Lepisosteus oculatus: one gene and its partners. The protein of the gene in region 2 purifies or fractionates together with the protein of the main gene of each other region. This does not show direct contact. Links are inferred from orthologs where the notes say so. Each region holds a gene or a part of one and is shown on either strand. Other genes may lie near its edges.

The links.
Region 1: the proteins of stk35 (region 2) and c25h1orf174 purify together in Homo sapiens (affinity purification with mass spectrometry; 3 studies listed by BioGRID and IntAct, counting the BioPlex papers as one, with this or other methods). This does not show direct contact. The link is inferred for Lepisosteus oculatus from reciprocal best matches to the Homo sapiens genes STK35 and C1orf174.
Region 3: the proteins of stk35 (region 2) and ctdspl2b purify together in Homo sapiens (affinity purification with mass spectrometry; 3 studies listed by BioGRID and IntAct, counting the BioPlex papers as one, with this or other methods). This does not show direct contact. The link is inferred for Lepisosteus oculatus from reciprocal best matches to the Homo sapiens genes STK35 and CTDSPL2.

Annotation. Positions count from the first base shown.
Region 1 is NC_090720.1:3,839,442-3,850,615, reverse strand, and holds the start of c25h1orf174 (UPF0688 protein C1orf174 homolog), read left to right. Parts: upstream 1-6,171; 5' UTR 6,172-6,303; coding exon 6,304-6,318; intron 6,319-8,270; coding exon 8,271-8,357; intron 8,358-9,578; coding exon 9,579-9,986; intron 9,987-10,614; coding exon 10,615-10,744; intron 10,745-11,174. Other genes in the region: b3gnt7l (UDP-GlcNAc:betaGal beta-1,3-N-acetylglucosaminyltransferase 7, like), read right to left, coding at 1,372-2,619.
Region 2 is NC_090711.1:13,097,984-13,109,276, reverse strand, and holds the start of stk35 (serine/threonine-protein kinase 35), read right to left. Parts: upstream 4,225-11,293; 5' UTR 4,012-4,224; coding exon 3,504-4,011; intron 1-3,503.
Region 3 is NC_090700.1:47,154,996-47,165,512, forward strand, and holds the start of ctdspl2b (CTD small phosphatase-like protein 2-B), read left to right. Parts: upstream 1-5,298; 5' UTR 5,299-5,572; exon of another isoform or gene 5,573-5,576; intron 5,577-5,648; exon of another isoform or gene 5,649-5,756; intron 5,757-10,517. UniProt on the Homo sapiens protein: Probable phosphatase.

The DNA of each region.
Region 1 (11,174 bases), on a different chromosome or scaffold from region 2:
TGTAAATCCATTTACTTTTTTATTTGTAACAAATTTGTCTTTACACTACCCTATGATAATACACACATTTTTAATATGCACATTTAATCTTAAATATATATAAGAAAGAGACTGACCAAGTTGTCCTTTCGCTGTAAAACAGTATACGTCTGGGGGCCAAAACTAATTTGAGGTTGGTTAACAATGAATTATGATTGGCTCAACTGCAGCCTGCCACTCAAGTGTCCAACCAAACTGGCACACTGCCATTTCCTGCCCAGTCTTGCTGGTTATCTGAGAACAAATGTTTATTTCTTAATCAAAACATGTCATTGTTGTTAGCTGTTGATTTTGACACACAGAAACTGTGTTCTGTTAGCCCCGAACTTTTTTTATAAATAAAGGATCAGCACTTCCTTCAGTATCCAGTGAATATACTGTATTTCCACTCATCCTTCTGAAGCGGATAATTAGTAATCACTTTCTGTTTTATTGATTAAACAGTGAATGTGCCAAACTGTGTTTTGTTAAATGTTGAGAGGAGGAAAAGAAAACAGGTTCTCAGATATGTCGCGTGGAGTAATTTTATTTTTAAGCTGCTCTGCTCAGTGAGTGCCTAAACCTAGGCCAAATTGTATTAGTAATATTTTAGGAGTAAAAATCGTTTATGGATTGTTTGTATTTTCCCCATGTGATTAAGTTGTTAAGCATTCAGTTTAGAATGTATTCCACTAGAAGCTTGTTTTCACGTTACATCCACATAGTCGTTAAATCTGAACCTAAGTTTGAGTTTTCCTCCAACTTACTTTCTGAAAAACTTATTTAAAAAACGTAAAACACTTGGCTTTTGTATTGGGTGCATGTTTTTTTTTAATGGACCACGACTGCCATTTTAAAATCAAACTGTCAATGTAAATTAAAATTTGGACAAGTCCATGAAGTCTGAAAGAAACATAAGCAGTTCATTCAGAGTCTGAAAACCAAATCAAATCTCCAAGAGAAAACAGTTGTCCGTATTTAAAAATATGTATTTTTAAATATTATAAAGACGAAAGTTCAGGATATTGTAGGAGAACGTTTTTGTTCCTATGGGCTCACAGAGGGATACTGTACCGTGACACCCCTGACAGCAATTACAAACTAAGAAAAGACGTGAATGAATTACTCGGCTTTTTAACGATGTAAAACTGGCATAAGGTTGTGATCAGATGTTTAAAAGATCAAGTGTCATTTAATTCACACATTCTTCCCAGACTGAGCCTCCTTAGTTAAAACTGTCAACACCTAAGCTGAGTTGCACGTCGCATACAGTACATAAATAAATCTTATCCAGTAAAAATTCAGTGAAGTCTCAGGCGGAGCCCGGTAAAAGGAATACAACTATACGTTCATTCAGGGCAGTACAATCTTTTTGGCGCATATCAAGTCCTTATTTTGCACTGTATCCCACATTCTAAGCAGATCTGTGGGGCTCATCTTATGGATCACTAGAAGGTTTTTGTAGAAACATGGGTCGTTGTTCATGGGACTGATTTTGCGCTTCATAATCCCAAAAGTCTTGAAACCGGGATGAAGTTCTGGGGCGACACCTATTTTCTGCAAGCACATGCCCAGAAATACATCATCGATGGGATAAAGCTCCAGTTTCTCAGAGACGATAAAGAGTCTCCGAGCTAATTCAGGAGACATTAAAAAGCCCCCACCCCCCACGTACGGGGGGTACGGTTTGTCGTAAAGGTCTCTGGGAATAAAGTACTTACTCTGACGGTTCCTAATGGGAATAGCTTTGGAAATGGTGTCCCCTACAAACAAATTTCGCACTTTCCCTTCTTCTGTCTTAAAATCAATCAGTTGCAGTAGATTGTTCGTGTTCACAAAGACGTCGTCGTCCCCTTTAAATATGAACTGCACCCCGGGGCAGTACATGTTAAACCATTTCAGGAAATTCACCTCTTTGAGGGTGAGGTTGAAAAAGGTGTCCATGAAATCCCACTGTAGGATGTCTCCGTATATCCTGTCCTCATACTGGATGAGCTTTTGGAGGTTCTTCGTGTCCTTGCCGGTGGAAGGGCTGCCCAGCAAAAACAGAGTCTTGATTCTCTTCCCACCGGTTACCTGCTCTCTGCCCCACGTCCTGCGGACCGCCTCCCTCCTGTCGTGCTGTTCAATCACCGATTTGACCACCATCAATAAGTGCACGTCTCCGCTCCGGCACGTTTCTGGGTGGTTTATCAGCATTGGGAAATACCTGCAGTGTCTGTACAGGACGAACTGGTGAAATCTCGGGTCCAGGCGTTTGAACCAGTCTTTATTCTTCACGTCGGGATTCTCGCTGCAGTTGATAGCAGTCACATCCCAAACCTTACGCGTCACGTTGGAAAATGGGACAAGATGACCCGCTTCCGAATTCTCAGGCTGTCCCAGGGGGGAATGATTGTAAGAGTCGCTTTTAAATACATTTTTATTCACCCTGGACCAACCGGCGTCCGCCCTGGTTTTCACCATTAAAGTGCCCTTAGCGGCCTCTTCCACCAGCTTGAACTTCTGGATCATTAATATCGTGGCACAGACCAAAGACAAACTCAGAAGAGTTTTCAGCGCTCTCTTCCGTCTGAAAAAATACTCCATTATCTTCAGCATACAAAGGTGTAGTAGCTGCAAAGGCAAACCTGGTTTAAATAAAAATCCGCTTTTTTCATTGTGCAATTAGCGGCCCCGTCGTCTGGTCGTGCTGTTTTAAATTCCGCAGTCTGTAATAGAAACGGTCAATTGCTGCCACACTTGTAGTGAGCTGCGGGGAACGCATGATCCCCGAAACTGAAATCTTTCCGTGGAAGAAACCTGTGTGCACAGTCATTGATATCCCGCTTGAAATTTGTCTACTTTCTGCGGATGCCTACTGGCGAGGAATACCAATGTCTTCCAGAAGTTACTCCGGCGCGGCTCGCGTGTCTGTCTTTCGCTTTCCCCGTTGTTTGAAGAGCATTTATTGCCTTCTTTTCACACGGAAGGTCCGACTGTTCCCTAGCGTTTTCATTTGTGCTTTGTTTCAACGTCCGCTGCGTCTGCTAATTACTTCTCCGCTACTTTTTTTTTGTCATAGCCTCCCCAACCCACACCTCCTCTCCGAGCAACTAAAGGACAGCCAAGTCTCTCGTTTCACCTTAGAGGGCGAAGTCAAAACCGCCTACAACCGCACCCCGCGAAGTTTCTGTCGTAGCAATATTGAAATACGCGTTCCCCTTCATAACTCATTGAAAAGCGGCTCATAAATTGTGGCTTTAATACAGTATACAGAAAATAAGAAAGGTTACAAACGATAAGATACCATTTGGCCAATCTTTCCAGTTTGCTTCCGTGCAGTTTATTGGTCTGGTCATCTCATTCAACAGTTTATTAAAGGAAGCAAGAGTAGTACCATGGTAGTCTGTTCCAGACACTAACGACTCTTTGTGTACACACAGGTGTTTAAAGATTAGTGGTTTCAGATGTTACTGCCGTTCATGCGGATTTCTTTCTGTACATGAATTTATTATTTTTTTATTATTAAATGCTGGTTTAAACATTGCATACCAAATCTTAATTTTGCTTGCGAGTTTGCAGAATTACAATTTTATTATATTGTCTTTATATATATATTGCTGATACATACAGTAATTTATCAAAAAATAAATAACCCAGTATTCACACACACAAACCAAAACACTGCAGGTGAGACCGTCTGTTTCGTGAAATAAATTAAACTACTTCAGAATCCAGTCAGATTAGCTGGATAGGATTAAATCGATAACTGATTTCAGGTTTGCTCCGTTTTCCCTCGGAGAACTCCGGTTTCTGGTTAAATTGAACAAGTTAGGCCAGTCTGACTACCTGCGCGCTCACGACTACCTCCAGAAGACAGCAGAGCATCAATCAATCAAGATTTATTTATCAATGCACGAACAGTAGAGCATACAGCAGTGTTGTCGGCAATGGCATGCTTTATCCGCATCGATTCCTTCATCAGCACCAGCACCAGTGTGAACGTGCGTTTTTTCCAGTGACCATGAATTACGACTCCTTTTGGAAAACTATGAGGAGATAAAAGCTGTTATACTGTAAATGCTGCAAAAGCCGGGGACGTCGCCTAACACCGTATCGCCGATACAGAAGTTAATAATGAAATATCTCAAGATATGACACAACTATCACCATGGCGAGAGCATGCATATATTATCTTTACTTAACGTTTATCATTATGTTATTGAAGTGGAGCCCCCTTTTAAACTATCACGGCACAATATTGTTTTCATGCGGCAGTAATTGCAGTATTTTATGCATGGAACTGGACCGCAATGGAAAAACAAAATACAAGAATATCATCCAAAGTGGTATGTGGTTTTCTTTAGAACAACTGTAAAATGCTGTACACAGTGTTGTGCAACATTTGAATAAAAACGATACCTCATTTTAGCCAGCAGCAAGAATCATGAGCAGAAGATGACTGAACGTTAATAGTGAAGATATTGGTAATAATGAATGAAGATAATCAACCCAATAAAGAATTATTCCTTTATTGGGTTTTTGTCTTTTTACCAACGTTTTTTTATCTGAATCGATTAGTAGAGGTGAGACTCCCACCACCATATTGATGAAAGTCTCAAGCCAAGTAAAATGTGGCCTAAATATAATCGGAAGAAAAAATTAACCCAGACATAATTAGAGAGAATATATCCTAAAACAATGGCCACCGTTTAACTAGACATGGCCTGTCTGGGGCTGCCCTCAGAGCACTAAGACAATCACATCTTGACTTGAGGATCCCAAATGTCATCTCAATGTGGGCTCTTGTCTTTACTAGGTTCTGGATCAGGGAAGGGGTCAATTAGATGTTGGAGCTGCCATAATCCCTATCCCCAGAAAGAAGCCAGTCAAACTGACTGGAAGCACTGATCGATGGAACTACATGCAATATCTTCACAGCACAGTGTACCTCAGACCAATGGCTGCTTGTGTTCAATACCTTGCTTAAATTTAAAGCGCAATGTGGACTATCTGAATATTCGAGTCTACATGTTGCTGATTCGACACCGTACATCATGGATCATCGAATATCATAGGAAACATGGTGATAATGGACTTTTTGTGTAATCAATTCATATTTTTTAGGCTATAATTTTTTTTTCCACCAGTACATTGATGTCGTGAATTGATTTTCTTTTAACAAAATCGGTCTCCTTCGACCCGGTGGGGCTTTTAATGTCTGTGCAGTTCAGAGCACCTGTTACATTAGAAAATCCTGCATGCAAATATATACAGTAGATCGCGGGACTTATGTACAGGAAACAAAAAGTACAAGTAGAGGGAAGCTCCTCTTTGCACGGCCCGGAATCGTTATGAATGAATATAAAGACTTGCAGTGCAACCACCACTGTCCTTATCACACGGCGCACTGTCGCTTTGCTGATGCGCTCGGAGTCGCGAACACAGTAAAAATACTGTGGCCAAGAATCTCAAGAGCTCGAGTTTCTGTAAATAATGAGTCACAACATTCGGAATATAGAGGTTTTAAAGGCTTAACCTGGTGCTGTTTGATCCCGCTTCGTGAAACCGAAAAGTCAGACTTTTGTTATTCGGTTAACTAAGTAATCTCGATTTGCGAAAGAGCCCCGAGGGCTAAACCACACAAATTCTGCTTACTGTGTATTAACGCAAATGCAGCAAGGATTGTACTTGTGCCTGATGCAAGCTAGAAAATAAGAGAAATGCACCTAGCACCACCCAGTGGCATTAAGAAGATCTACATAATAATAATAATAATAATAATAATAATAATAATAATAATAATAATAATAATAATAATAATAATAACAGCGACACATCTTGTTTTTTATGTCTTCAGCACAAAAGCCATCGTTACACGATATATTAAACACCTGCTTAGTCATACAAATAATACAAAATAAGTTCTTACACAATGAACACTACATCTCACACGCCCGTGTTGCATTTCGGCATTTAATAATCGAGTTGATAGCTGCAAAAAAAATGGAATTCTAATCTATCGGCAAAGCACACGTGTCGATTAATAAAGAACCTGTGCCTCTGGGGGAAGATGCCCCGTACTAAGCACCCCAAGACGCAGCGCACCCTTAACCCCCACAATGGCCGCCTCCGGCCCTCCCGGCGGTGGGCTGGGCTTGGCGCACAGTCGCGTCATTTGACGAGCGGCTGCTTGGAGTTTTGAAGCCGACCGGGCTTTGCTTTTGTAGAAACTTTTTTTTTGTGCGTTACCCTCCCCGGCAATACTTATTAACTTTTGCCTACCTCGGTAAAGCACTGGGAATGAGTCGAAAACAGGTAGGTTAAGCCGGAGAAACTTCCAGGGTTTCAAAAAGTGTAGGCGCGGTACATAGCGATAGACCGGCCTTTTTTAACGGAGACAACTCCCCGGCGTTCGCCAGTTTGAGACGAGAGAGCCTGGACGTGCTGTAACACTCGGGATACAAATTATATTACGATTGTAAATATTTACACCCCTCGCTTACATAATAAAAGCTTCCTGAAAAAGCAAGCTGGGGCCAAGAAAAGTTCAATTTCCCAGAAACTAGATTTCAGACCCGTGTTTCGCTTTGGAAGACGCGTTCAGGCGGTTTTGCGAGGGTAGCGAGGTCTGTGCCTGCGCTGTGTCCCCGGTTGTGTGAACTCGGGTTCCAGGTTTGTTCCGCCGGTAGGTAATGCGTTACAGCGCAGCACACTGAGATGTTCTGTAAACGAAAGGTTTCGAGCGAGAGGAGGCCCTTGAATTCTTGTCGCACGTTAGGTTGCTAGTAGTTCGGTTCATCTGATCCAACCATTTCCACAAGGATCCCAGGAAGTCTGCGCCGACAGCGTGGCTTCGCTGGAGGCTTCAGTTCTACACCCTTCCCTTTGGAAAAAAAAAACCCAGTATTGTTCTAGCAGCACCTCATTCCAAAACAATAACCGGCAGGAATGTTGTGTGTGAAGGATTATGTATCATAAGGGAGTTAGCTGTGGTAAAGAGTGGTGAGAAATTCTATTTAAAGGTAACCTTAGTCTTCCGAGAGTTAAATCTAAAAAAGTAAGGCAAATTGATCCTTAATAGATCCTTTTACATTGTAATATCTTATATCTTTTATATTCCCATATCACATATCTTTTACACATTTTATTATATTGAGAGCTATCATGAAACCATGATGAATGATGTGGTGGGCAATAATTGTGTATTGTTATGTGTGAGAACAAAGCCATAGTTCTCAGTTCTCATAGTGCTAGAACGCCAGCAGCCATATCACTCTGTAACTGGCACCCCACTGAAGCTCAGCAGGTCAGTACCTGGATGGGAGATGAATGGAAAAATTCAATTCCCCTGGAAAAAACTTAGGTTGCTGTTGGAAGGTGTTAATCGGGCCAGCAGCGCTCACCCTGCGTCTCATGTGGGTCCTAATGCCCCAGTATAGTGACGGGGACACTATACTGTTAACAGGCGCCGTCCTTTGGATGAGACGTAAAGTCTCTGTCATCACTAAAAATCTGTTTCTTCTAAAAAAGTTGTAACCCTGGCATGTCCAAATTTCCCATTGGCCCTTACCAATCATGGCCTCCAAATAATCCCCATCTATGAATTGGCTACATTACTCTGCTCTCCTCCCCACTAATAGCTGGTGTGTGGTGAGCGTTCTGGCGCACTATGGCTGCCGTCGCATCATCCAGGTGGGGCTGCACATTGGTGGTGGTGGAGGGGATCCCCATTACCTGTAAAGCACTTAGAGTGGAGTGTCCAGAAAAGTGCTATGTAAGTGTAAGCAATGAGACACACAGGCACACAGAGTGCAGGGTCAGCCATTTATACGGCGCCCCTGGAGCAGCTGGGGTTAAGGGCCTTGCTCAGGGGCCCAACGGAGTAGGATTCCTCTGCTGCCCGTGGGATTTGAACCAGCAACCTGGTGGTGGTGGTGCTATAGTTAGCATTGCAGCGCTGGGGCCCTGGGTTCAATTACAGACCTGGGGTGTTATCTGTATGGAGTTTGTTTTTCCTTTGTTCGCTTGGGTTTCCTCCCACAGTCCAGAGACATGCTGATAGGTTAATTGGCTTCTGTGACACTTGGTCCTGGTGTGAGTGTGTACGTGTCTGTCTGCCCTACGGTGGACTGGCATCCCATCCAGGCTGTACCCTGTTGCTTGCCAGGATAGCCTCTGAAATGGGAGAAGAGGTTAGTAAAAGGATGGCTGTATCAGGTTTGTATCGGTGTTCCTATTCCAGTTGATTTTTCCTTTTTCTTTTCCAGGGCCGGGGTAAAGTCCGGAGCTCGGAGAGACTCAAAGGAAAGAGCTCCCATGCTTCACTCAGCACAGCAGTGGAAAGTTCAGTTCAGGTCAGTCACAGTAATAATAATAATAATAATAATAATAATAAACAGTCAACTACATTTTATACAGAAACCTTTAAAAGTAGGTTCTCATAACACTTTACAGAAAAGGTAAAAGAAAACAGTTAACACGTATAACCACAAGGGATTAAAAAATGCAGTAGAAGATGCCAGGAGCAAAGACACCAACTAAATAAAAGCCTTTCTGAAGAAGTTTTTGAGTCTGGATTTTGTGCCTAGGGTAGGTGACTCTCTGATATCCTTGTAGATAGAATTCCAGAGGTCTGGACCATATAGGTGAGCATGAGGATGTTGAATTTGACATAAAACCTGATAGGAAGCCAGTGCAGGGACTCCAGGAAAGGAGTAATGTGATCACTTGCACAAGACCTGTTAAGGATTCTGTTTGGATTTAGATACCCTAGCGAATGGAGCGTTGCAGTAATCAATTCTAGTTAAGACAAATGTATTAACTAGCTTTTCTGCTACAGACAGAGAATATAGGACATAGTCCGGTGATGTTCCTGACATGTTTTTACAATATATTGTACATGTGTTCAAATGCCAAGCCGGAATGAAATATCACGCCCAAATTCTTCAATTTAGATTGACATTCAAGTACAGTGTCATCCACAGATAGGGTTACTGCATTGGCTTTACATAGTTGATGAGAGGTGCTTAGAAGCATGAGTTAATCTTGTGGCAGTTCAGATGAAGGAAGTTTTGAGTCATGGAGTTTTTTATGTTAGAGATGCAATTAGAGAGCATAGAAACAGCTGCTACAGTGTCAAGTTTAGTATGGATGTAGACCTGAGAGTCATCAACTTTGAAGTGATAATTCAGACCATGTGATTTTAATAACTGACCAAGTGGGAACATGGAAATGCTGAATAGCAGAGGGCCCAGTATCAAGCTATGAGGAACACCAGTCTTAATGGCCCAACTTCAGAACTAAAACCCCTAAGACAGATAAATGTCAGTGATCAGTAAGGTAAAAGTCATGTCAGAAACAGTGTCAAGGTGGGAGAGTGAGATGTCATGATTTAGGAGAATAAGGATAGATAGAGAAGCGGAATCGGAGGCCCAGAGGTGATAAGAAGATTATTAGTAACTTTGAAAAGGGCTGTTTCACCCCGTTCAGGGTTGCAGGGAAGCTGGAGTCTGTTCTGTCAAGCAACAATCAAAATCAGGGTCCTCACATTTCATGAAAGACTTACATTTTTACAGGCTCCCTTGAAGAAGACTGAATCCCATCGTTCTGTCAAACGGCAGAAATGTGAAGTGCCTGAACCGCAGCCAGAAACGTCGGCAGATGTCCCCGAAGACGTCGGTGGCCTGTCGGGAGGAACAGCCCAGGAGCAGGGCGTCAATGGGAGTTCTGCAAGGGAGCTCGGCACAGCGAGAGGCACACAGAGCCATCTCCCCGAGGCAGAGGAGATGAGCGCCACAGGAGCCAGCGAGTGCCGGACTTTGGAGTCTGAATCCGGTGTTGCGATGAACTCGAGTGCGGAGAGAGCAGTTGATAATTGTGTGCCAAAGCTGGAGCTCCAAATGGACAACAGTGTTTTCCTGGACGAGGACAGTAACCAGCCAATGCCAGTGGGCCAGTTCTTTGGGAATATAGAACTTGTACAGGTACCTTATCTGCTTGTGGTAGGGGTGGTGGAATGGTATTGTTATGGAAATAGGCCTTTTGTTTGATTACGTCCCATCCTGGGTAATGAATGACTTCAAACCTTGAAGTGCAGAACATTTTAGAGCAGAATTTCTCCCGCAGATACAAGCCTGGTTGAAGAACACACTTATCACAAATTAGTCATGAGAAACTGGTTTAGTAAGTTACAGATTTAAGAGAAACAGACTTGCACGTCATAGTTTAGGACTGGAAACATGACCACCTCTTTATGGAAAGAGAAAATCGCAGGACTTCTTGGTTACATACTCTGCAGATGTGCATGGCTGTGTCCAAAACAACTTGTGAGCAGGGCTCTGGCCACCAAACCGGAAGGCTGTGTAGTCATGTCCCTAGGTGATGTAGCCTTGAGTGAAGAACAAGGTGTCACATTGACTCTGCCCAGCTTTTAAAACGAGTAGCAGTGTCAATGGGAGTGATCTTGCAGGGGACTAGCATAGCCGCCGATCTGGGAACACTCAGAACTGTTTGCCTTGTACCCCAGAAGCCAGGATAAACTTAAACCTGATTAGCCACCAGATCAGCGCGCATAGCTTGAAGGTTTTATGATAATATGGTTTTGTTCTGCAGGACGATCCTCCCAGAGCTCCAGCAACAGTCCCAATGAGCCGGAGGGAGTACAGGAGGCTACACTTCATTGCTAAAGACGACGAGGATGACCTCTACGAAGACAGCCACGTGGAACAGCCTCAGCAGAATGGTATTTGCTTTACGTTGTCTTTGGGGACTCAGTGTTGCAAATCCCAATCACTTTGACAATCGCTTTTCCTGGAAAACCTCAGTTCACCAAGACATCGCCTTGAATCATGTACTGGCAGTTACATGAAGCAGCCCAGCTGAGCAGTTTCTCAGTCCATTCTGCTGTTTAATAGACTTTTTTAAATTAAGAGACTTTAGTGAGGTCAAGGGATTAAGAAAACCTCTTCAGAATGTAGATGCTATAACACACACAGTACTTCATGTCCAATGAACTTCATGTATCAAATACATCTGAGTGTTAAACAAGTGATGACACATGGCATACCTCCATTTTTTGCAGGTTCTATTAAAAAGACTGAAGCCGATTGCAGGGTAGCACAGATTTTAATGTGGAGCTTGGCACCTCTGTTGCAATATATACTGATTGGAAA
Region 2 (11,293 bases):
GTTATGCAACAAAAGACGAAAGTACTTTGCTGAAACACTGAGGCACAGGCACTGACATCTGCAATCACACTTCTGTCCAAGGCCTGAGGCTGTGCTCAGCACACAATCCTGGCTGAGCCACACAGCCTGCCTACCTGTCTGAAATTAGAGGGAAGGCAGAGGCCTGATCAACTCTGACAAGGTCCAGCAGGGAAGAAGTGAGCTATTCACTATTCACTCGCTATAGCAATCACAAAACGTGAACTAATGAATGTTTCCACCCTCTAAAACCTTACCCTAGTGCCAGGCTAATGGTCAATGCTTCTGTTCATGTGGTTAACTACAGTTTGTTTTTTGATGGGAACCAAGATGCTCAATCTGGCTATAGGCATTTTGTAATGAATGAATGAAATCTTGACAGTATGCCTTGGAAGATGGCAGATCGGACCTGTTTGTAGCCAGTTCAGCACTGGAGGAAATGGGGAGGCTTCAGGAAAAAAAATGCATCTTTGTCGGGACCAACATCCAGAACTTGAACAGGTTGCTGAATCCAATATTCAATCTTTAAAGACGGGATTTAGTGAGTGATGCCTACACCCTACCTACTTTGACACCCATAGTTCACATTTAGCACTGCACAATATTTCAACTGAAGTATTGTCCTACAATGTTTTACTGCGATTTAAGTCGAGAGTGCAACCATTACTGGTTAACCAAATCTTACCTTTTCCATTATTCTATTTCTAATATTACCTTTCTATTGGCTACCATTTCCCACCCCACCTTGTTATACCACTACTTATTGGGCTGCATAATAATCCCTGTGAATAATGTGAAAACTGTGATTTAGGCTATTCTCTTGGGTCTAGAGCTGGCCTTCTGGATTAACTTAGTCACACACCCAAAAAAGGCTCCACAGCTGAAACACTGAGTTTCCTTTCCTCCCTTTTCAGCATAGAATAAACCTTTACTTGTTCTTTTGCGGCCATAGGCAAAACTTCCCTACTTGAACTTCTTCTGCATTACCTGCCACTTGCCCAATTGATACCACTTACCCAGAGCACACGCATGCCCACACTGCTGGCACATTACAGGCTTTAGAGAAGCCCACACTGCGAATTGAACTGGGAACTCCCACTGGCCCTTAAAGAAGGAAATGTAACTGGCATCGCAAAACAAGACCCGTTTTGTTCAAGTGACCTTTGAGCAGAGCAACTTTAATGGCAGCAATGGTGAAGAAGAGCCATAAGCCTGACTGACAGGTAGCCCTTTTTTCCACACAAATCTCAATGGTCTAAGGAAGAAAAAATAGACAACTGACCAAATCTTGGAAGTCTGGAGTTGATCATCACTGGAAACAAAAAGTAACTCTCCACATTTGGAAAAAAATGCTTTTGAGAAAGAGACTATGGGAATATTTCAGAACTCTGGAACGGCAAATTTCAGTCTTCCACAACAGAACACCCTGTCACTTTAAAAACAAGGGGCATTAATTTCTGGACAACCCTAAAAAAAAAACAATACAGGGGGCACAGATCTCCATGGCCCTCCATTTCCACCACAGACCAATGAAGAGGCAGAACAGATCCCACAAACTTGAGCTGTCACACAAACGGACACCAAAACAACAACAGCAGCTACCTGCAAACCGAGTCAGTGATAAACACTGTCATGACCAGAGAAACGGAAAACTGGCACTCCAAAGTCTTAATCACTTCTAGGCTTTAAAAAAAAAAAAAGTCAGCACCTCAAGATCTAAGCTTGATAACGCATCCAAGATTTCACATTACCTAGCATGGACTTTCAAGGGGAGGGGGGTTGGTCCAACACAAAAGGCAACACCAGCAAGGGGTCTCGCTGCACAATCAAAATTGTGGGGGAACACAGCAGCCCCACTGCATGTCTGGCAATATCAGAATTAAAGGGGAACCAACAGGAGCCACTACCTCCACTGCTGAAGCACGGGACACGTCTGGGCCACTACTAGATCAGGAGAAAATGAAATCTACTGAACTCATGAGGAACATTAGGGAGGTGCGATCTTCATCCCAGGGCAGAATTCAGCTAGGACACCAGAGATCACACACCCCTGCTTTTACAAACAAGCCCGGGATCGTTAATGACCAAGAACACCAGGGCCAAGAATTCTCACCTGGTCTGAAGGAAGGCAACTTCTACAACACAGTGTCCTCCTTCACCATACTGGGGCTTTCTGTGTTAGAAATACTGTACTAGAGGGAAAAGTACATTTACACTACCTGAACTGCCAACACCTCTCACAGCAGTAACCTGATTTTCCATAGAGGCCACCCAGCTGTATTCTGCTTACCGAGAGCTGAGCAGGTTGGCAATTGGTCACATTGACAACTGGAATCAACTTCCTGTCGTGAAACTCTGTTTATTTTTAAGTTTCAAATAATGTAAATATTTTGTCCAGTAAATAATAAATAATGTCAAGTGCCCTGACATCTCAAGGAAGAGACCGTATTCCCAGTCGTGAAAGGAAAAACAAACCAAACCTGTTTGTTCTAAACTGTAAAACACAAAAGGAAAGGGTTTATTCCCTCAGAGCAGGCTCCTTTCTGAAAAGGCCAGTAATCTGAAACACATAGGAAATGACAAGCCGTTAATTAACAAGGTCTTAAGTAAAAGAAGATAATCAGTTTCGATTCATGTAGCCTATGGCCTGTTTCCGAGGTGAAAACTGTACATTTGAGAAGGGACGTGAAATCACGGTCACCTGGTCCCAGCTCCCGAGCTCGGAGCGCCCACATGTTCATGCCCGGCGTTAATATTTCATCTCCAGAGAAGTGATCAGGCCCCAGTTACATCACGCAGAAAGGGAGGCCAGGGGCCGCATCAGCGCGGGCGATGCGTTTCCAGTCGGTGCGATCTGCTGCCCGACACTCACGAAAACCACCCCCCCCCAAAAAAAACACAGGCCGAAAACCTGCATAACTCCGAGGCCCCCCGCAAAAACGGAACCCGCACACTCCCGCTGCACGCCGGGCGAACGGCCGCTCTGACTGCGCGGCTGTCCGGGAAGAAGCCTTTGTCCCGGCCGCTAGCGAACCCCGAATGGGGAACTGCGTTTCAGGACGGGGGGGGAGAGAGCGAGTCGTCCCCTCCTGCGCACCGTTTCGGCCGACTCGAGTCGCGTCCTGCCAAGACCAGTTTAAACTCCCCCCCCTCCCCGCCATCACCGCCACACACGTGAACTTCGTGCCTCGAAAACTTCAGCTCAGTTCTGCGATTGCTGGGGGGGGGGGCAGCTTAAGACGCATCTGGACCGAAACTGGGAAATAAATTCCAGCGATTCCGCTGGTGTGGAGAATAAAATCGCTCACTTAACCCCGTAGACCCCAGGATGTTGTTACACGGAATACGGTAACACATGCATTGCTTGAGATCTGAAACCCGAATCGAGCAACGCACTTCGACTGAACGACCTGGGGGGTTGCAGCTGACCCACAGAGGTGTAGCGCCGGGGTAATTTTACTGCGAGGTGGGGGTAAACCCGGTACCTTTGAGCGACGTCTCCACCAGGCGCAGGTACTGCTCCGACCGCTTGTTGCCGTGGCTCATTTTCTGGGCCATGCCGTTCCGCTGCAGGACGCACTCCTCCAGCTGCACCACATTTTCGTGCCGCCGCTCCAGGCTCGCCAGGGCCCAGAACTCGGCCAGGGCCAGCTCCACGTTCTCGGGGGCGTCGCAGCGCAGCTTCTTCACGGCCACCCTGGCGCCCGACCGCCGCGCCACGGCCTCGTACACCACCCCGTAGCTGCCCCTGCCGACCTCCCGCAGGAGGCTGTAGCGCGGCCCCAGCACCCGCCGCGGCGGCGGCGGCGGCGGCTTCTCGCCCTTGGCGACGCCGTCGGGGGCCGAGCCTTCCTCCATCGGGACCTCATCGCCCCGGCTCTGCCCCGGCGAAACTTTGCCCACCTCCCTTTTCAGCTTCGCATTGCGAGCCCCGCTCCTCCGGCAGGCTCGCACGCTGTTTGTCCTTCTCCTCCCCCCGTCACCTGTATCCATGGGTCTCTTGTCGTTGAAAACGAACGTGCGGGGAAATTCGGTTTTCCTCTCCTCATCACTTTATTTCCGGGGGAAGAAAATTAGGTGAGCTACGCGGGGCTTGACGTGCCTTTTGAGACCAGAACTTGGTTTTTGGGTCGAACCCCGCTTTTCCTGTGCCAAAATCACGATTTGCAGCTCCAACCGTTTCCCTATCTCCAAACTGTTTGAACTAAATAAACATCCAAACCTTTGAATGAAGGGGTGGACCGTACCACTCCTCGTGACGAGGGAGGTCTAGTGTTGTACAGTTTTACCACGTTCACTACTAATAACAATAGCAGCATGCCGTTCTAGAATATAAATACTTCGTTAAATTAAGAAGAAAAAAATATATAATTATATTCCAGCCTCGCACAAGTTAAAGTTTATCAATAACCTTTTGTTCAGTGTCCCCCCCACATAATTCCTAGAAGTCTCATATAAGGACGAGTCCACTGTTTAGTCATGGGGGTGTCGTACTTACAAAACATTTACGTATTGTTTTGTTATGCGCAGTATATAAATCTATTTTTTGGTGCAGTTAATTATTTGAATTATTAGACGACATAATCGGAACTGGTTGTCTTAGCGTACTAAACTGTTTTGTCATTTAAAGTGTAAAGAATTTACGTACCCCCTTCGCTTTTTCCCATGTTCGGTGAAGACCGTTCGGACATTGAATGTTTTGATTTTTTTTAACCCTGTGTGCAATATTTGAATTTGTTAGTATTCAAGCACACGAAATTATATTTGAACGTATTTTTTGCCATGTTTTGGGGTTAGTTTTAATATTTATATCTTAAAATATATATGTATTTTTTTTCCCGAATAACGTTCTTAGAGATGAACTTCCTTGGGATACGTGTGCTTAGCCCCTAGCTTACAGTTTTCACGTGTGTCCGGAGAGCACGTGTGACAGCGCCTGCTGTTTGTGGCACGCTTGTCTCGTACCGCGGTCCACATGACTGTGCAAGTGAAGGATAAAGCTCCAGTATTATATTTATCACTAAATAAACGTGCAGCGCGAGTGACGTCAGGTGGCAATTTTAAGCAAAACACAGGTCTCACTCGCTCAAACAATTTAGTAATATGTTGTATTCATAATATGTTATATTGTGAATATGACACATTCATAATGTACTACTGTACATATATTACGTACAAATATTCATTATATATGCTATCATCTTATATTCTCCTTTAAGGTTATTCCACACTGGTCAGCATTGATTACAACTGCTCATCAAGACCGTAGATATTTCCTGGGATTCTTGGAGTAAGTAAACTGCAAATGATTCAGAAGAATCCACATTTAAACAGGACGAGCATAAATTGAACATAAACAGTATAGAAATCCGCATCACTGTCCGCGCTAACATTAAATTTAGAATACACTGCTAAACTGATGAATGTAAAGTGAGAGAAAATGTTCTCATAAGCTTTTATGGGATAATATTTCAGTTATTCTCAATGATCCTTACTAGGATGTTCTGTTATAACTTGCATTAGTGTAATGGGTGCAATTAAAGTGACAACCTGGCAAGAAAAAATGCATACTCTGCCATGCAGTGAGAACACTGTCATGGTGGATTAGGATCCTGTGACTGATCTTCAATGGGCAAACAATCTGCAACACAGCTTGAAATATTGAAGAGCCCCTGGGTATAAACAGTTAACCTTTGTCTATCACATCTAAGCACTGTAACCAAAACAGAAAGCTTCAGATAGCGTGGAGAAACTCAGCTAAGTTAGCGACTGGGTCTCTCAGCTCTCAGTCTTTAGGTTGTTGAGTAATTCAGTTAGTACCTGTCCTGCTGAACCATAGAGCAGTAATAATACAGATCATTTCGAAAGACAAAACTTGTGGTTAAAAAGTACGTTCAATCATTGACCAGACCTTGTGCAGCTCAGTCCCTGATGTAATTCAAGCACAGCCTTGGTCTTGGGATCAGAAGACACAGCGCCGGTCCCTAGATGGGGGCAAAATACTCTACAGCTAAACACTACGTCCTCCAGCCGCTGGAGAGGTGTACACTGTTTAGGCTTCAAGGGGATGACATCATCTTCTACTGCATAACAGGCTCAACATTGCTAAAGTCCTCTTACTGTCACATCCAGATGTGAAGATAAAAATGATTCAAAAATCCTTATGCTCACCTATAAGGCTCTGCATGGCTTTGCACCTCAGTACCTGTCTGAACTTTTATCATCCTACTCCCCACCTCGCAACCTTCGCTCTTCTAAGTCTGCTCTCCTTACTGTCCCCCAAGCCCGTCTACATTGTATGGGTGACAGGGCCTTCTCCTGTTATGCCCCCAAGCTCTGGAACTCTCTCCCCAAGGATATCAGAGAGTCACCTTCTCTAACCTCCTTCAAATCCAGACTCAAAACCCTCTTCTTCAGAAAAGCCTTTACTGAACTGGTTCCATTCTTCACCCCTCTGGTCTTCTTAGTACCACCATCCACGGTCTCCTCTATATATTGTAATTGTGTTTTATCTTGTGTATTCTTCTTATTTATTGTTGTTGTCATCCTGTAAAGCACTGAGAAGGCACCGCTAAAGGTGCCATATAACATAAAGTTTATTATTATTATTATTATTATTATTATTATTATTATTATAAACTGTAAGCAACATAAAAGCACTGCAGAACGATGTTTGCTGGCAACAGGCAGCAGTGTGGGACAGACAAAGGAATGACAGGAGGAAGAACAGATCAATGCTGGATCATGGAGATTCTGAAACAGAGCCCAGGAGACAAGAGATGACCAACCGAGTGACCTCAGAGAAGATGGGAAGGTGAAACGAGGAAGTCTTTGGGTGCCATCATCGTATAATGCGCCAAAGGCACGAGCTTCGGAGAGGTCTTCATCCAGAAGCTGATTAAGAAGAGCTGCTGTTGATGAAAATGCTGATCCTGCTGAGAAAGAGTATTGCATTGCTGTATTTAATACAAGAAAAACAGTGTGATTGATAATGGGGAAAAGGCGGTCAAAGAATAAGTGGATATTTGTGCAACATTGTGTTTCATAAACATGGCTAAAATCAGCCACAATGCAGAAGAAAAAAGAATAAAGCACCGAACCTGTCTTCAATTAATTTGCCATATCCCGTTCTTGTCTAGGACTCTTCCAATAGGATACAGCAGGGGTTGTAAACACCACCATGTACCTGCTGGCTTGGGGAGGTCTTCATTCTCATCTGGTCCTTCCCAAGCCAGCAGGTACAAGGTGATGTTTTCTAGCCTGGGGAGATTACCCATTGTCCCATTGTGAGGGGAGACCTCACGCCATAGGGGTACCTATGTTACCAGCAAGGAACTGATAGCACCAGTTATCCCGACTGGACAGCACGGCCAGCACCTGAAACACTGATCTCACTAATCAGACACAAGCCCAGCCTACTTCCCACAAATGCTGACACACAACCTAATTACCCAACCACGTCCCTCGTCCTGCACCACGCCTCCTGACATCCACTAATTAAGATAAGCTAATTAGCCATATATAATTTCTTTGCATTAGGAATTCATCTTTTCGCATACCCCAGCTTGCTCTCCATGAGACACAGACAGGGAGAGAAGCTTGGGGTCAGAGCTCAGGGTCAGCCATTGTACAGCACCCCTGCAGCAGCTGGGGTTAAGGGCCTTGCTCAGGGGCTGCAGGAGTTGAACCAGCAACCTTCCAGCCACAGGCGCAGATCCTTAGCCACAGATCCACCTCTCACCTGCACTCCCAGCTTAGTACTGAGTTAAACCTCACGAGCTACCTTCTCAAAACTTCAACGCTTAAGAATCCTATTGTCTCGTGAAACTCATGCTACTTGACCCACGCTTGCTTCCGACCATGATTATTGGCTACGCGACTTGGCTGAGTAAACCAGGCTTTTGCTCCACTTTATTTTTTTTCTCTCATCAGCCTTCGACTAGCACCACATAGGGTCCTATCTTCTTTGTCGTGACCAACTGTTTCTAACACCTTGTGATGGCCAGCCATGAAAGTAGGGATGCACATGTGGTTCCGGAGTGAAAAAAAACGTTGAGTTAAATAAAAATGCTTAAGGACTATAGAAAACTTGTTAGGATGAAAGTGTGTCACACTTTCTGAAGGCACCTGGCAGCCCTGGGCTTGTTTTCCCTGCACAGACATACAAGTGGCAAACTTCAAAACGAGAAGTGATTGCTTTATCTCCCGAACACCTGCAGACTCTGTATTTCTCTCAGGAGTACGTTAAGGGCAATAAAGGATAAAGGTAAGCTGAGCATCACCTAGGCGCTATTTATAACAGGGCTTAGGAAAGCTTACCTTCAATAACATCTGTTATTTATCATGTTCCTCTTCTGGAAAGACAGGGAGAAGACATCAGTTCAGTTTATTTGTCATACGCACAAGTGCAATTTACATGTATGCTTTTTTGCATGTATGCTCCAATACAAAGACATTAAGGAGTCACCAAAAACACAGTCATAGGATACACATGATGCTAGTCGCTTGTTTACCGAGCCAGTAAATGTTTAAGATAGCCACTGAAACCAAGCCGCTGATTATTGATTCACATAGTATAGTTTACACCTAATGTATGTACTCTTTTCTCACTGTTATGTCACACTGTTTTTCTTTAGAAAACTTTGTCCAATTCAGGGTCCCGGAGGAGCCAGAGGTTATCCCAGTTAGGATAGATCCTGGCGCAAGGCGGGATATATCCCGGACGGGACATTTTCTTTTTTAATAACCACAATCATTTATTTCAGTTTTTTGTCCGAGCTCTCCGACTTGAAGCCCTGGCCAGTGCTGGTCGAAGGGCTGGGATGAGTCAGCCAGAGCTCTGTGGGCTCTCCAGTACCTCCTGTGACTTCCTGGGCGCTGGCAGGGTTGTAGAGGTGAGATGCACCACTACCTTAACTGGCACTAACTGTCCTGCCAGCCTGAGATGCCATCCCAGAATGGCCCTGCAGCTGGCTGTATCAGAGGGGCTTGTCAACCTGTTTTGAGCTCATTCCTCAGTCATTGCCAGAACATTGAGTCCTAAACCCAATAGTGATTCCACATTGGGTAGATGTATAATAAAACAGAAAAAGTTGGCCTCCTGTTCTGTGTAACCTCTTAAAGTTTTGATTGACTAACATCTGGCATCTGTGAGTTATGCTGGAACACAAGTACAGTACTTTGGAGTCCATCTAACATTGTACTACACTACACAAGAAACACCTCATAAACTTTAGAGTTTTTGCTTCAAATTAGCATTCCAGTCTCTATGGGTGAATATGTGTTTCTAAAGGAAAATCACAACAGATTAATAGTTTCTCAATAATGAGCCTGTTGTTCCTAAAAAACTCTTCTGATATTCCTCATGTTCACCTGATTGCAATGGGGCAGGAATTTGTTGCCTTACTGTGCAGAACGCGGTAGACCTTTGACTGAATTTTGTTTATTGCATTGCTTTATTAAAAAGAAACATCTCCCAGACCTCTTAATCCTTATGTCATGCTGTGTTTATGAAGATACAGGGAATGCAGATATATTACATGGGTATGGTCTCCTATTGCACACCAAATGTCAAGTACATCTTTGTGCAAATTCGCAAAGCCAAATTTTTTTCTTAACTGTCAGCTGAGAGTCATACCAGAGCGAAAATAAAAATTGAAAGAAAATGCACTGGAGGCTTATTTTAATTAACATTGTTAACATTGAGAATGTCAGACACTTAAGGAACTAAATGGACGGCAATATGCATTTAAACTGAATTGCTAAATCAAAACTAATCTGAGGAATAAACTGAGGTGCACCACATTCTTATGCATGCTATTTATCTTTAACAGCTGAAAGGTAACCAAAGTGACCCTTTCTGATATTAATGTCAGTAAAACCCCATTTCTGGGGGGAGAAATAATGTTCTCTTTTAGGACGTTAGAAGTATGTATCTCTGACAATAAATCCATGTAAAGGCTAGTCCGGATGAAGTGCTAAAAAACTTAAATTTCCATAGCTGACTCAAATAAGTGGGTAGAATATTGATTATATGAACAGCATGGTGGCACAGTGGTTAACACCACAGCCTCCTAGCACTGGGTCTTTCCAGTCAATTCCAGACGTGGGGTGTTATCTGTGGGATGTTTGTGAGTTCTGTCAGGGAACCAGTAAGTAAAATGGGAGGATCCTCATGCGTAACCAGGAATCCTGCAGAATGTGGAGTAGCACAGGGACAATCCAAAACACGTAATCCAGGGGGCTTGGTCAATTGGAGAAGCAATGAGTCCGGTAACCAGGGAAATCCGAGAAAGACAATCCGAAAAACAAAATCCAAAGAGCATGGTCAAAAAGGCAGGAGCAAAGATTTGGAACCAGGAGATCAGTCAAAATGGTTAGAAACACACACAAGAGAATACTTCGGGAACCTTCTCGATAGTGAGCCTGGGTTGGTGAGTGAGGGAACTGTAAATACTGAAGGGAAAGGGATGTGGTTGGATTATTGGTCTGGGAGTGAGAATTTGTGGAATCTGGTGCCTGTGGGAATGTGAGGGGTTCAATTAGGAATGAGATGGTGAAACAGTGGGTTTGGGAATGTAACAGCGTTTGCGAGGGAGAGCACGGGGCGTGACAAGGGTACAGAGTCAATTTCCCCAAAAGCCAATTAACCAATCACACCGTAGCGCCCATGTAAAAATAGGGAGAACATACGAACTCCACACATATAGCATCCCAGGGCCGGAATTGAACCCAGGGCCCCAGCACTACCGGACAGCAATGCCAACAAGTTCTCCTCATGTTTGCTTGGATTTCCTCCCATCGTGCAAAGGGCTTCTGGGAAAACTGGCCCTGGTGAAATTGAGTGAATGTCCTGGGAGTCCTTGTCCCCTGAACTCTGTGTTGTATTCCAAGGCCACGGTTGTCTTTCTTTGATCAACGTGCTCCAGACCTGCTCTTTCCCAGACTGGCTGGGTGCACTAGCACTCGTGGTTCCCCCAGCAGCTCCTGACACACAGCAGGTGTACAGAACAGAGTTAAAGCACGATTCCAAATCAGGCCGAGCATGATAAAGCTGTGGCATGAGGTGGTTAAAACAAAAAAAAATATTAAAAGAAAACCTACAGGTTTATTAGTGGTGATATACATATAACCGACAAAATAAATAGTAGTTTGCCTCCACACTAAAACACAATATCAGATGAATAGTCATACACCCTTTTTCAGCATGGAACACCAAATGCCACACAGAAAGTGTTTTTTTTTCCAGCACAGTTTGGTAATGAAGTTATAACCA
Region 3 (10,517 bases), on a different chromosome or scaffold from region 2:
GGACCAGGGCTGGCTGCCACCACTGCAGACCAGAGAATGATTGTTTAAAAACAGAACGGTTGTCTACAATTGTATGCAAAGATGATTATATTAAAAGTAGGTTTGGGTGTTGTACCCAGTTACGGCAGTAGATTGCTCAAATGTTGATCTTGGTGGTCTATTGGACATCTCCTGGGGTGGGATGATATCTTTCATGCATCATGACCTCATCAGATACTTACAGTATTCAAAGGATCCTTTTGGCTTTGCCCATGAAGACCTTATCTGGAGATTCACTGCATATTAAAGTCCAGCCGTCCTGTTACAATGGTTACTCAACTGAATTATGGTCTACAGCCGTCTTTGTGACCAATCTTTACGATGATGCTGCAATGTTGGAGAGAGGACAAGCACGACTTTTTGATCTTTCCTTGAATGTTTTCATGCAGGCTCTAGTGCCGTCTATAGGAAAAGGTGGGGCGAGGAAAGCTCAGCTCCTTAATGAGACAACATTAACCCTCTAACCTGATGGAAAGGAAAATTGGCGGTAGATAAAAATAAAACCTATACAGCCTTCATATATACATCTTCACACTTCATGGTACAAATGCTGTATGCTTAAAATACTCGGATTTAGTAGTCATGTTTCACCATGCTAAATGATTAAAATTGGACCTCATATAGTATTTATTGCAGTTGATGTTTTCTTGATATGTTTATGTAACCAATGCACCCCTGTGTATAAGGGGGATCTCAGCCGCCTGGGCTGAGGAAGGTCTCCTTTAGCTTAGCTGGCAAGTTCCCTGTTGCGTAACGCTGGAGACTCGGGTTCGCGCCCAGGCATCGAGGGGACGAACTGGCAGGGCAGGAGTGGCAAGGGTGGAGACCCCAAGAACCGTTGCAGTTAGCTGCGCGGAGCTGAGGCATTGCTGGCAGTGCTCTGCTCCGTCTCCCCAGCAGAAGGACTTGGGTGCCTGCACAGCAGTGCAGCACAGCCACATCTGTGTGAAAAGACTCTGGACCCAAGCACACAGCACTTGGGGGCTCGGTCCGTTATTCCGATATCCAGGTTCCATGGATGTAACAGTGGGCGTGGGAGTTCAATCCAATTATTTTTATTTCCTGAAACATTTAAAAATTCTAGAAGGCGCTTCCCAAGGGAAGAGAGAGGTGTGTAGAGTATGTAGCTCAGAGACGTGCACAATAGGAGGAGGCGGCAGCCCCTGACACACAATGCTTATAGTGGTGGATTGAAGTTTGTTTTTTTGCAAATAGGTCCACAACGTTCTCCAGCTGAGTGACAGCCCCCGGTCCACGATAATTAAGGGTAATACGAGACGTTTGTGGATCGGCGGTTCCCTGTGCTCTTGTGTCCTCATCCTCTCTAAAATCCACAGGGTGTGGGTTGGGGAGCAGCGAGTGGGGCTCTGGACTCATGGGTGGAAGGTGGTGGGTTCAAATCCCAGGTGGGAAAAGGAACAGGTAAAGGTTTATTCTATGCTGAAAAGGGAAGAAAGGAAACACAACGTTTCAGCTGTGGAGCCTTCTTCGGGTTTCCAGGTGGGAAAATGCTGTTGTGCCCAATTCACCCTTATTACTCCAGTAAAATATTCAGTTGTATACATGGGAACATACTGTATGTGAGTCGCTTTGGGGGAAAAAAGCATCACCCATATTAGTAGTTAGTAATTGTCATAGGTGTAGATACTATCGTGTGTCCGATCTGCAGGATACTTCGTAATGGATTATGTAACCTAAGCGATGTTAAGGTACTAGGACTTCTGCTACAGGTGCAATCTCCCAGAACCGCCAGTGTCCCCATAAACCCGGACAAGACGTTAGTAACAGATAAGTGCTCTTTTTATTTCTCTGCCATCTATAGCATATGAACTGCCTTCGTCATAAGATAAGACAAGAAACAAAACACTAAATAACGCCTCGACTGGAGACCGAAGTCTCCATTTTTTGCGCCGTTTGTTATTTTAAATCCCGTTAATATTGTGACCAAGCCGGTTATGGATGTCTTTGGTTTTAAATTGATCCCTTCAGTTCGTAGCAGGGGAGTCAGAAAGATAACGAAGGATTACCCGGCGACAGTGTACAGAAAGATATATTTTTCTTTTTGTTAAGGAATGTGTACACAAAAGAGTAAGACATTCCACCAAATATCTTTAAGCTCTCTAATACACGACTTGGGTTCCGAAGCACTCATCCCTGATACCACCAGCTGTATCTTTCATAATACATCGCCATGACAACCATTTGCATGTTTTCAAAATCCCGGCGAATTTCCACCCCAGTGCCTGTTTTTGCCATTGTGAACACATGCGCGCGCTTCAGCTAGCGGCTTCGCCAGAAAGCCGTCGAGCAGCGCCGTCACAGTCCCAGGTGGAAACTTCTCATCTGCTTTTCTTATTGAAACACACGAATGTTTTTTTTTTTTAAATGCATGCATATCACCGCAAGAGCGCAGTTCTGTTTCCTTTCAAAATACGGAGCCGCAGCCGCTGTTTTTAAAATGGAAGGGCAGCAAACACGTTTAGGAACAAAAAATAATCATTCTGATCGGCTATATTTTGTGGTGTCTCAGAGAGATCTGGCTTTCGTTTGGGGCTGTAAGGTACTGCCCTCGCGTTCCTACTTATCCATTCTCATCCTATTAGTTTCTGGAATTAACAGCTTTCTGATACCGAGCTGCCTCGTCCAGGTAATCGCAGATTTTCGGAACGCGAAAGTAAGGTGTCAGCGAGAATGTGACGGCGTGTTCTTTTTGGGAACTACAAATGATCATACAAACAACTCCGAGACACTAACGGGCCTGAGTGAGATGTCTAGGCCAAAGGGGACCCTGCCCACTGGAAAAAAAATCCACATTGTATTTAAAAAGGGCAAACGCGTTCTCTCTACTTTTGTGGACCAACGAGGAACGTCCTAGCTATTGAACCACGCACGTTATATTTGGGGGACATACAAAGTTGACAGTCATCCACCCACCAGTGCACCGAAATGCCGTACAGATTGAAAATGGCCCCCGAAACAAATTTTGTCATTATTTAAATTAGTCAAATTTAAGATAAGGTAGTTTAGAACGCAGCGTCCTTCACACTGTGGGGAAGTCTCACTACTGTCTGTAGGTCCGGAATGACTATCTTGCATAGTGTCCCCACGTACACAGTCATAGCCCTCACCCCACGCACAAACGGAATAAAACGCAAGCACGAACACGAATGCACTGTGAGTCATCCGTATCACTGCACTAAATACAGGGCTGTGTGTCGCCTGGAACAAGCGGTCTTTTCTAGCCCCGGTCTGTGCCCAGGGAAAACGGCACATCTTCGTTATTGAACGTTAATAGCAAGACCTCCGGGCGCGTTTTACTGAGCTACGAGTGGACGCGTCTTTGTTCAGTCTGCACTGGGGTGGCTGATCGGAAACTCTTCGACCGCTGCCTTCCTATCACAGCATCAGTGAACGCGGCTTTTTGAAGGCAGCTGCATGTGTGTGTGCTGAGGAGGGGCCAGCGTGTGGCACTGCATTTTTACATTTGCATATTTACTTTAGGCTTTGAAATATCTGAGGCCCAGTTGTGAGAATTCCTGGGGCGCCACATACTGCTTTAATGCAAATTTAATTTGACAGCTGTTTATCCGGCTAGGTAATACTCAAGGTGCGTCTCCCCCGTGCGGCCGCACAGTGATAGGCGCGGCAGTAATAACTCGTCACAGTCATAAGCCGTTGCTTTTTAAAGGTGCGAGTGGGGGACAAACCCCACGCTCCGGGTGGCGGTGCTCCGCCTTACATCCCTCGCGTGAGACAGCCCGGTCGATTCTGGCAGGACCCGCGCGAGCCTGCTCGTGCTGTTCTATTGTCTTTTACCTGCCGCGCACTTCGATGCTAATGACGATTAAAAGCCCGGCGAGTCCGTCTGCCTCTCCGGAGGAAAGGCATCCCTCCGCGCGGAGCTCCCTCGGCGTGCCGGAGACGGCCAGCTTCATGTGTGTCATCTTAACATACAAGCATGTTCTCTCAAAGGTGACCAGTGCCATTTCACACACGAGACAGACGGAATTAGCATGAGATCGCGGAGGTACACATTCATCCCTTACAAATCATTTGAATTTTAAACCAATTCACTACACGGGAAAGTGATTATACTGGTGCTCTACTGGAGGAAATGTCGGATTTTTCGTTTTTAGCAAGAAACTCGGTGTCGCGTTTAACCCGACAATTGGATATTAACGGATATTAACCAGCTGACCTCATGCTGGTCCAGGTCAGAAATGCAGATATTCCGAGCGAGCTGTAGTAACGCATTTTTACTCTAGTGATTACTGCACGATTGTTCCCATCGGAGTGCCAAATTCCTATGCCGCCGAGCCACGGCAGCTTTTCTTGTTCACGAATAACTTGTCAAAAAACGTGGGGCTTCTCATGGGGGAATAAACATAATTTTCTTAGCCGTGGAGCCCACGTTGTCTAGTGAGGAATCTTCGGAGGGGATTTGACCAGCGTAATTTAGCATCTGAAGCTCGCGTTCGCGGCTTTGCGAAGGTGTCATTTTGTAACCTTCGTTAACTTTACACGTGTGATACAGAAAAGCTAGCGCTCCTTTACCGGCTTGATGAATGTAATATAGCGCCGGCAGGTGTATCCGAACGTGTTCTCAACAAGCTGATGCGTTATTCACATCTCAGCGTTTCGATGTCGAATTCAACCAGAACTCAAAGGCATGAGCACAGATCGCTATGCGCGGGGTCTCTGTGGGATTTCGGGAGGATGTTCGGGACACGGCAGTGCTTCCTTGAAGGGTCTGAGCAATGCGTCCCTGCCTGTGTCCCCATACACCTACGAGTCGTGTACGTGCCTCCGGGCTGTGGGATTCTTTCAGTTCCCAGTTCAATTCTCCTCCAGGAATGGGGGGTGATCTCCCAGCGAATATTAAATCTTACACGTCAATCGGCACTTTTTAATCGTGTCCGAAGACTCACGTTCCTGCCTGTAATTCTGTAGCCTGTAATTCTAATTTGATGTTTAAAATTGTATATACCCGTCATTTGTTGTTGGTTTTGTTTTTTGCTTGATTGTACAGTGTCTTTTCGGGTTTTTTTTTAAAACGAGCAGAAAGTCCAGTTGAAAGGGATTAAATACCCCGGGATCTATACAAATAAAAAGATGATAAAATTATGACAACAAAATGCTGATTTAATGAGCGATATGAAGCAGCAGAAGGGCACGGCGCTGTGGAGACGGCGGCAGCACACGCGTGTCGCCACCTGTGACGACGGGCTCGCTGGGTGGCGCTGCGGAGTTTGTTTGTGTTCAAAGTGGCGGGGAGGGGAGGAGCGCAGGTCGGCCTGTGCTTGCGCCTGCGCAGCGGGGACACGGCTCATCCGGGTCTCTGCCATTGAGAGTGTCGGTGCTGCGGGTCGGTAAGGAGGCGGGAAATGGCGACTGGAGGAGCAGCGCAGGAGCGGAGAGATTGTCCCTAAACACAGCGAGTCCGAGACGGCCACAGGCAGCAGGCAGCTCTCGCTGCGCCGAGTAGCAGCCAGGCACAGACAGCCACGTCGGGAACGACACACTCCGACACCTGGCAAGTGAGTGGGGCGCTATTCCCGCGGCTTTCCGGGGGGTTTGTGTGTCTGTAAATAAATATTGACTCTTCTGTCGTGCTGCACACCGAGGCGCTGTGTTTTTAAATCTCGGCTTCTTCTGCCTACCGGGGGATTTCAAACATGACATTTTCCGGGCAGCACAGATCAACTAGGCAGACCGAGGTATTTTTTTCCCCTTTGTTTTGCTTTCTTATAAATTGCATCAGCACCGCTACCTGGTTGTTTCCTTCCACTTTAGTTCATCTACCTTAAGTGGTGCCTTTTTATGTATTTTTTTTTGCCTTGCTGCGAACAAGTTGCTTCTACCTGGGGGCTAAATTACTCATTAATGTGTAGTTGAAGACTTTGTTTGGGGGAGTCGGTCTTGAAAGAGAAACAGGTAGTGGCGCTACGGCAGCGCTGGAGCCAAAGTCATGCCTCAATTTAAACGCTTGCTCGGGTGAGTGGGAAAACGGAGCGCTTTTTTTGTGTTAGGCCTTGGCCTCGTCTCCCATCTCCCGCCCCGGGCTTGATTATGAAGCCCTACCGATTTCCCCTTCCCCTTTCCCGCCCACTTCTCTGGCAGGGAGGGGGGGTTCTCGCGTGTGCCTTTTACCAACACAATAAACCCCCCGAAAAAAAAAAACCGTTTACTCTCCGAAAAAACGCCCATGTGTTTGCGATGTAGTGCTCTCGCCAGTGCACGGCTGAAGTTTGAAGCTCTGCAGCCGGGAGAAAGTGCGGCTTTGTTTGTTGTCACTGGAGTTGCCTGGGCTCGGATTCACAGGTTTCATTCCTCGAGCTGCGGCTCGGGGGGCGTTGCTCGCGCGCGGCGCGGTGCTCCTTCTCGCTCCGCTCGGCGCCGTCTCAGCTCGCGCTCGTGTTTACCAGCGGGGCTGCGTTTGCGACAGGAGAGCACGTTAACTTTATTTTTTCTTTAAAAAAAATGCATCGCGAGGGAAAGTTTAATACTGTTTTGTAGCTTTACCAAGCTCCTGCACATTGTGGGAGAATACGATTTACTTGACCGTCGGTGCACTTCGGCAGTTTTTCTAACGAGTCTGAGTATTTCCAGTCGCCGTGGACAGAGGAAATAAGCGTCTTGAGTGCTTTTTTTTAACGGCGTCCTTTTACAATTTCTCTAAACCCTGATACACGTTTCTAATTTTTTTTCCTGTCATGTGCGGTAGGCATTTTAAAGTTACCAGTATTTTTAAATCCCCGTGTTACAAATCCTAAAAACAGTATTTTAAGTTTTATTTGGAAAGGTTTTCGCAAGTGTTGGAAATCGCGCAGCGCGTTGAGTGTCATGTCATCTAGCGATATCCTTTCTTTCCGAATTATTTTGTACTACTAACACTTCACACTTGCAGAGAGATTTATAGCCTGTCATTTTCCTCCCAGGAGTCGCCAGCAGCAGCTGTAGGACATGTTCGTAGTTTTTCTATCTTAAGGAGAGAGCCGATTGCCTTTGAAGTGTCCGTACCTGATCGGAACATGTCACAACCGGTGAATGAACTAGAACTGCCGTTACCTAAGTCGTACAACAGTGTACGTTTGCATGGTGCCTTTCAAGGTGAAGGTTTTGTAGCCTGGCTTGTCTCGCTCAGCAATGAAGTGGAATGTGGACTTCTGTAAGGTAAAGCGCGGCTTTCAAGCCTGCTGCATTCGGTAATGATCCCCCGCCTGCGTCACAGTGACATTCCTCTGCTACAGTCGTGCAGTAGGGATACATCAAGTCTCTTCTGAGACTGGGGGACGGTGGGGATGGAGGGTTTGACTGAGCCTTTTTGACGCGTCAAGAGTTCAGTGTCCTTCCATGTGCTCTGAGATTGGTCAAAGTTGCCGGCACAATTCTGTGATTTTTGCCTGGGCATGTTGGAGCCAGTCGTTTTGTAGCTCACACGCGCTCTGTCACACGAGAGTTTTACAGCTGGGTAGTTTAATCTTCGTCCCCGTTTAAAAAAAAGTGGGATTCTTCCCGTGGTTTGCTTTGAAAATTTCTCATTTTTTCATAATGCCTGAAAATGTATGCAGGCATTATAAAGGAACAAATTAATAATAGGAATATAAATACCACTGCAGCGGGACGAACAAACATTTTGTTGTGCTTGCTTAGAAAACAGCTTGCTGCAGTTTCGCATAACAAGATTTCTCCTGTTGGTGAACCCACTGACATTAATAGCTGCTGTGGCATATACACTGTTGATAGAGATGTGACTAATTCTCTGAACAGACTCAATAGATAGCCAGCAATTCTGAGTGAAGGTCCCCCTGTGTTTTAGTGGTGTTGACCTTTCTTCAGCATAATGCCGGTTCCCAGGGATGTGTTTAAGTGGTGCCTGAAAAGCAGATCTGAAAGTTAAATTGCTGGAGATGCAAATTGCTGAACTACAGGTGATTGAGCAACAATGTTTCCATATAAAAAAGCAGGTGTAAAGTATTTTAGAAATAATCTCAAATCGCATTAGCTTAGTACACAAAAGCACATTCTCGGAGTCCTTCATTAACACTAACAATTTAACTGATTCGATTGTTACACTAACTGTACCCATATTTTGGGAGTTTCTTGGGGGGACCTCAAACCTTTACTGAAGCACAGTGGGCATTTGAATGACCAAGTTGTTCTGATGAATTGGTTTCATTAGATTATCCCTTGTCTTAAAAAAAACAAAACCATTCTCAGATTATCCAGCTCTTTTCTTTTTGGCGATTCAGCAACTGTGCCATGTGTAGGATAGGGTGTCCTGTGTGGGTAAGCATGGAGATGCCATTGGTGGTGTTGCCGTGTGCTGGTGTGATGCCAGTGGCGGTGTTGCCGTGTGCTGGTGTGATGCCAGTGTGTGGTGTTGCCGTGTGCTGGTGTGATGCCAGTGGTGGTGTTGCCGTGTGCTGGTGTGATGCCAGTGGTGGTGTTGCCGTGTGCTGGTGTGATGCCAGTGGTGGTGTTGCCGTGTGCTGGTGTGATGCCAGTGGTGGTGTTGCCGTGTGCTGGTGTGATGCCAGTGTGTGGTGTTGCCGTGTGCTGGTGTGATGCCAGTGTGTGGTGTTGCCGTGTGCTGGTGTGATGCCAGTGTGTGGTGTTGCCGTGTGCTGGTGTGATGCCAGTGTGTGGTGTTGCCGTGTGCTGGTGTGATGCCAGTGTGCGGGCTGTGCCAGCTCTGCCTGGGTCTGCCCTGCTGTGGTGGCCTGGTTAGCTGGCAGCTTGCTCTGCAGGCTGTAAGGTAGGAACATGTCCCGTCATCTTTGTACCAGAGCTTAGCTGCACATGAACATTACTGAGCTTTCAACTTTACTGCACATGGGAATAGGACAGAGGTTGTTTTTTTTACTGGCTTGAAGGACATGGTTTTGTTTTATTCGGGGAGTAAAGGCAGCTGTTTCAGCTGAATGCCTTATTCATTTTTCCTTACTCTTCTGAACCTGCCTCCTAGATGGTTAAATGATTTGTAATATATGCAACTGGAGTGAAATGTATTTGTGTGAATTCTGAAGCATTTTAGAGTGATTTTGTGACAGTGCAACTCATAATGCAACTACAACTACAAATACATGCAAATAGCTTTAGTCTTAAGAGGAAATTTTTCTTCACATATCTTGAATCTCCTTTAACTGTTAGTATCATTGTTGTGCACTAACATAAATGTATATAGTATGAAGGGGAAGTAGGGGGAAAGTGGCATCCTCACTCGTTTTTAGTAACATTTCTCCTTAATTAGCCTCAGGGGAGAAATGCAGAAGACGTGGAAGTAGTGCTATTCCTTGGATGGAATGATATTGGGGGGTGGATGTCTTCTGTGCATTTATAACATCTGTTTTTCATTTAAAAAACATCAAGTGTACAGTTACTAGTGAAAGATGAACTGACTGTCTGGTTCAATTTATGTAGAATACTTAAACTTTTCATGCCTTTTTTTTTCTTTTAATGAAAACGAAAGTGGCAAAGATGTTGCTCGTGCTTTTGGCAGCGCTGCGCTGAAAACTGCAGATGAGTCATGCTTTGTGTTGGTAAAAATAGGCAGGGAGACTCGAGAAGCAACAAAGCTGTTTCTGCTGCAGCCAGATCTGGAGCATGCTTACTGCATGAGCTGAAAGATGACAGATGCTTGCGTTGTTTCTGGCTGCATTTTATTCCAGTGTTTCAGATCGGGATGCAGCATCAGCCGAGTCGTGGGCAGGGCTATTCCCTTGTCCTGGCCAGGCCTGTCAGTGCTCCTGACTCGTTGATTCCCCCATCACCCCTGGCTTCTCCATTGTTCATACTTCAGCTGGCAGCACTGTGCCTTGGGCTGTCATTCCTGAGTGTGACAAAGCCATAAGGATATCGCAGTCTCCAGCCAACATGTAATCAGGTCTGAGATGTATACCGCTCCATTGTACGTCTAACAGGCGTCTGTGATTTCTGTTTGAGACTGTAGTAGAAAGCAGGTATCTACAGTGGTAGCTTGATGTGCACTCTCTGTTACATATTATTTTTCTGTCATGAATTAAGCAATTTAAAACCAAACTTTCTTAGTCTCTAGTCACTGTAGGAGTTGTTGCTTGATGGCCAGGCGGCAGAGAAGAATTCTGTTCGGTAATCAATTAATAAGACCTACGGCTGAGTTAGTGAGGTAATGGAGGGGATAATGATTCTGTATCGGGAGCTTTGTAATGTATTGGCTGGACATGGGTTTGACTGGCAATTTAACACGTGTGTAGGCCTCGTCTACACTGGAGGTGTTTCATCTGGTTTTGCTTTAGGATTGTTGTAGATAAAACAATGCATGCTGACTTTGCTATGCTCCTTGTAATCTGGTGTTTTGCTGGGCTGGATTCAATAAAGATGTTCCTTGCGCCAAGAAACTGAGAATAGGCAGTGTATCAGAACATCAAGATGCTTTCAAATATTTATTCTGTGATTTGGAAGCACAAAACCTTTGATTTCAATTTACAAGCCTGGTT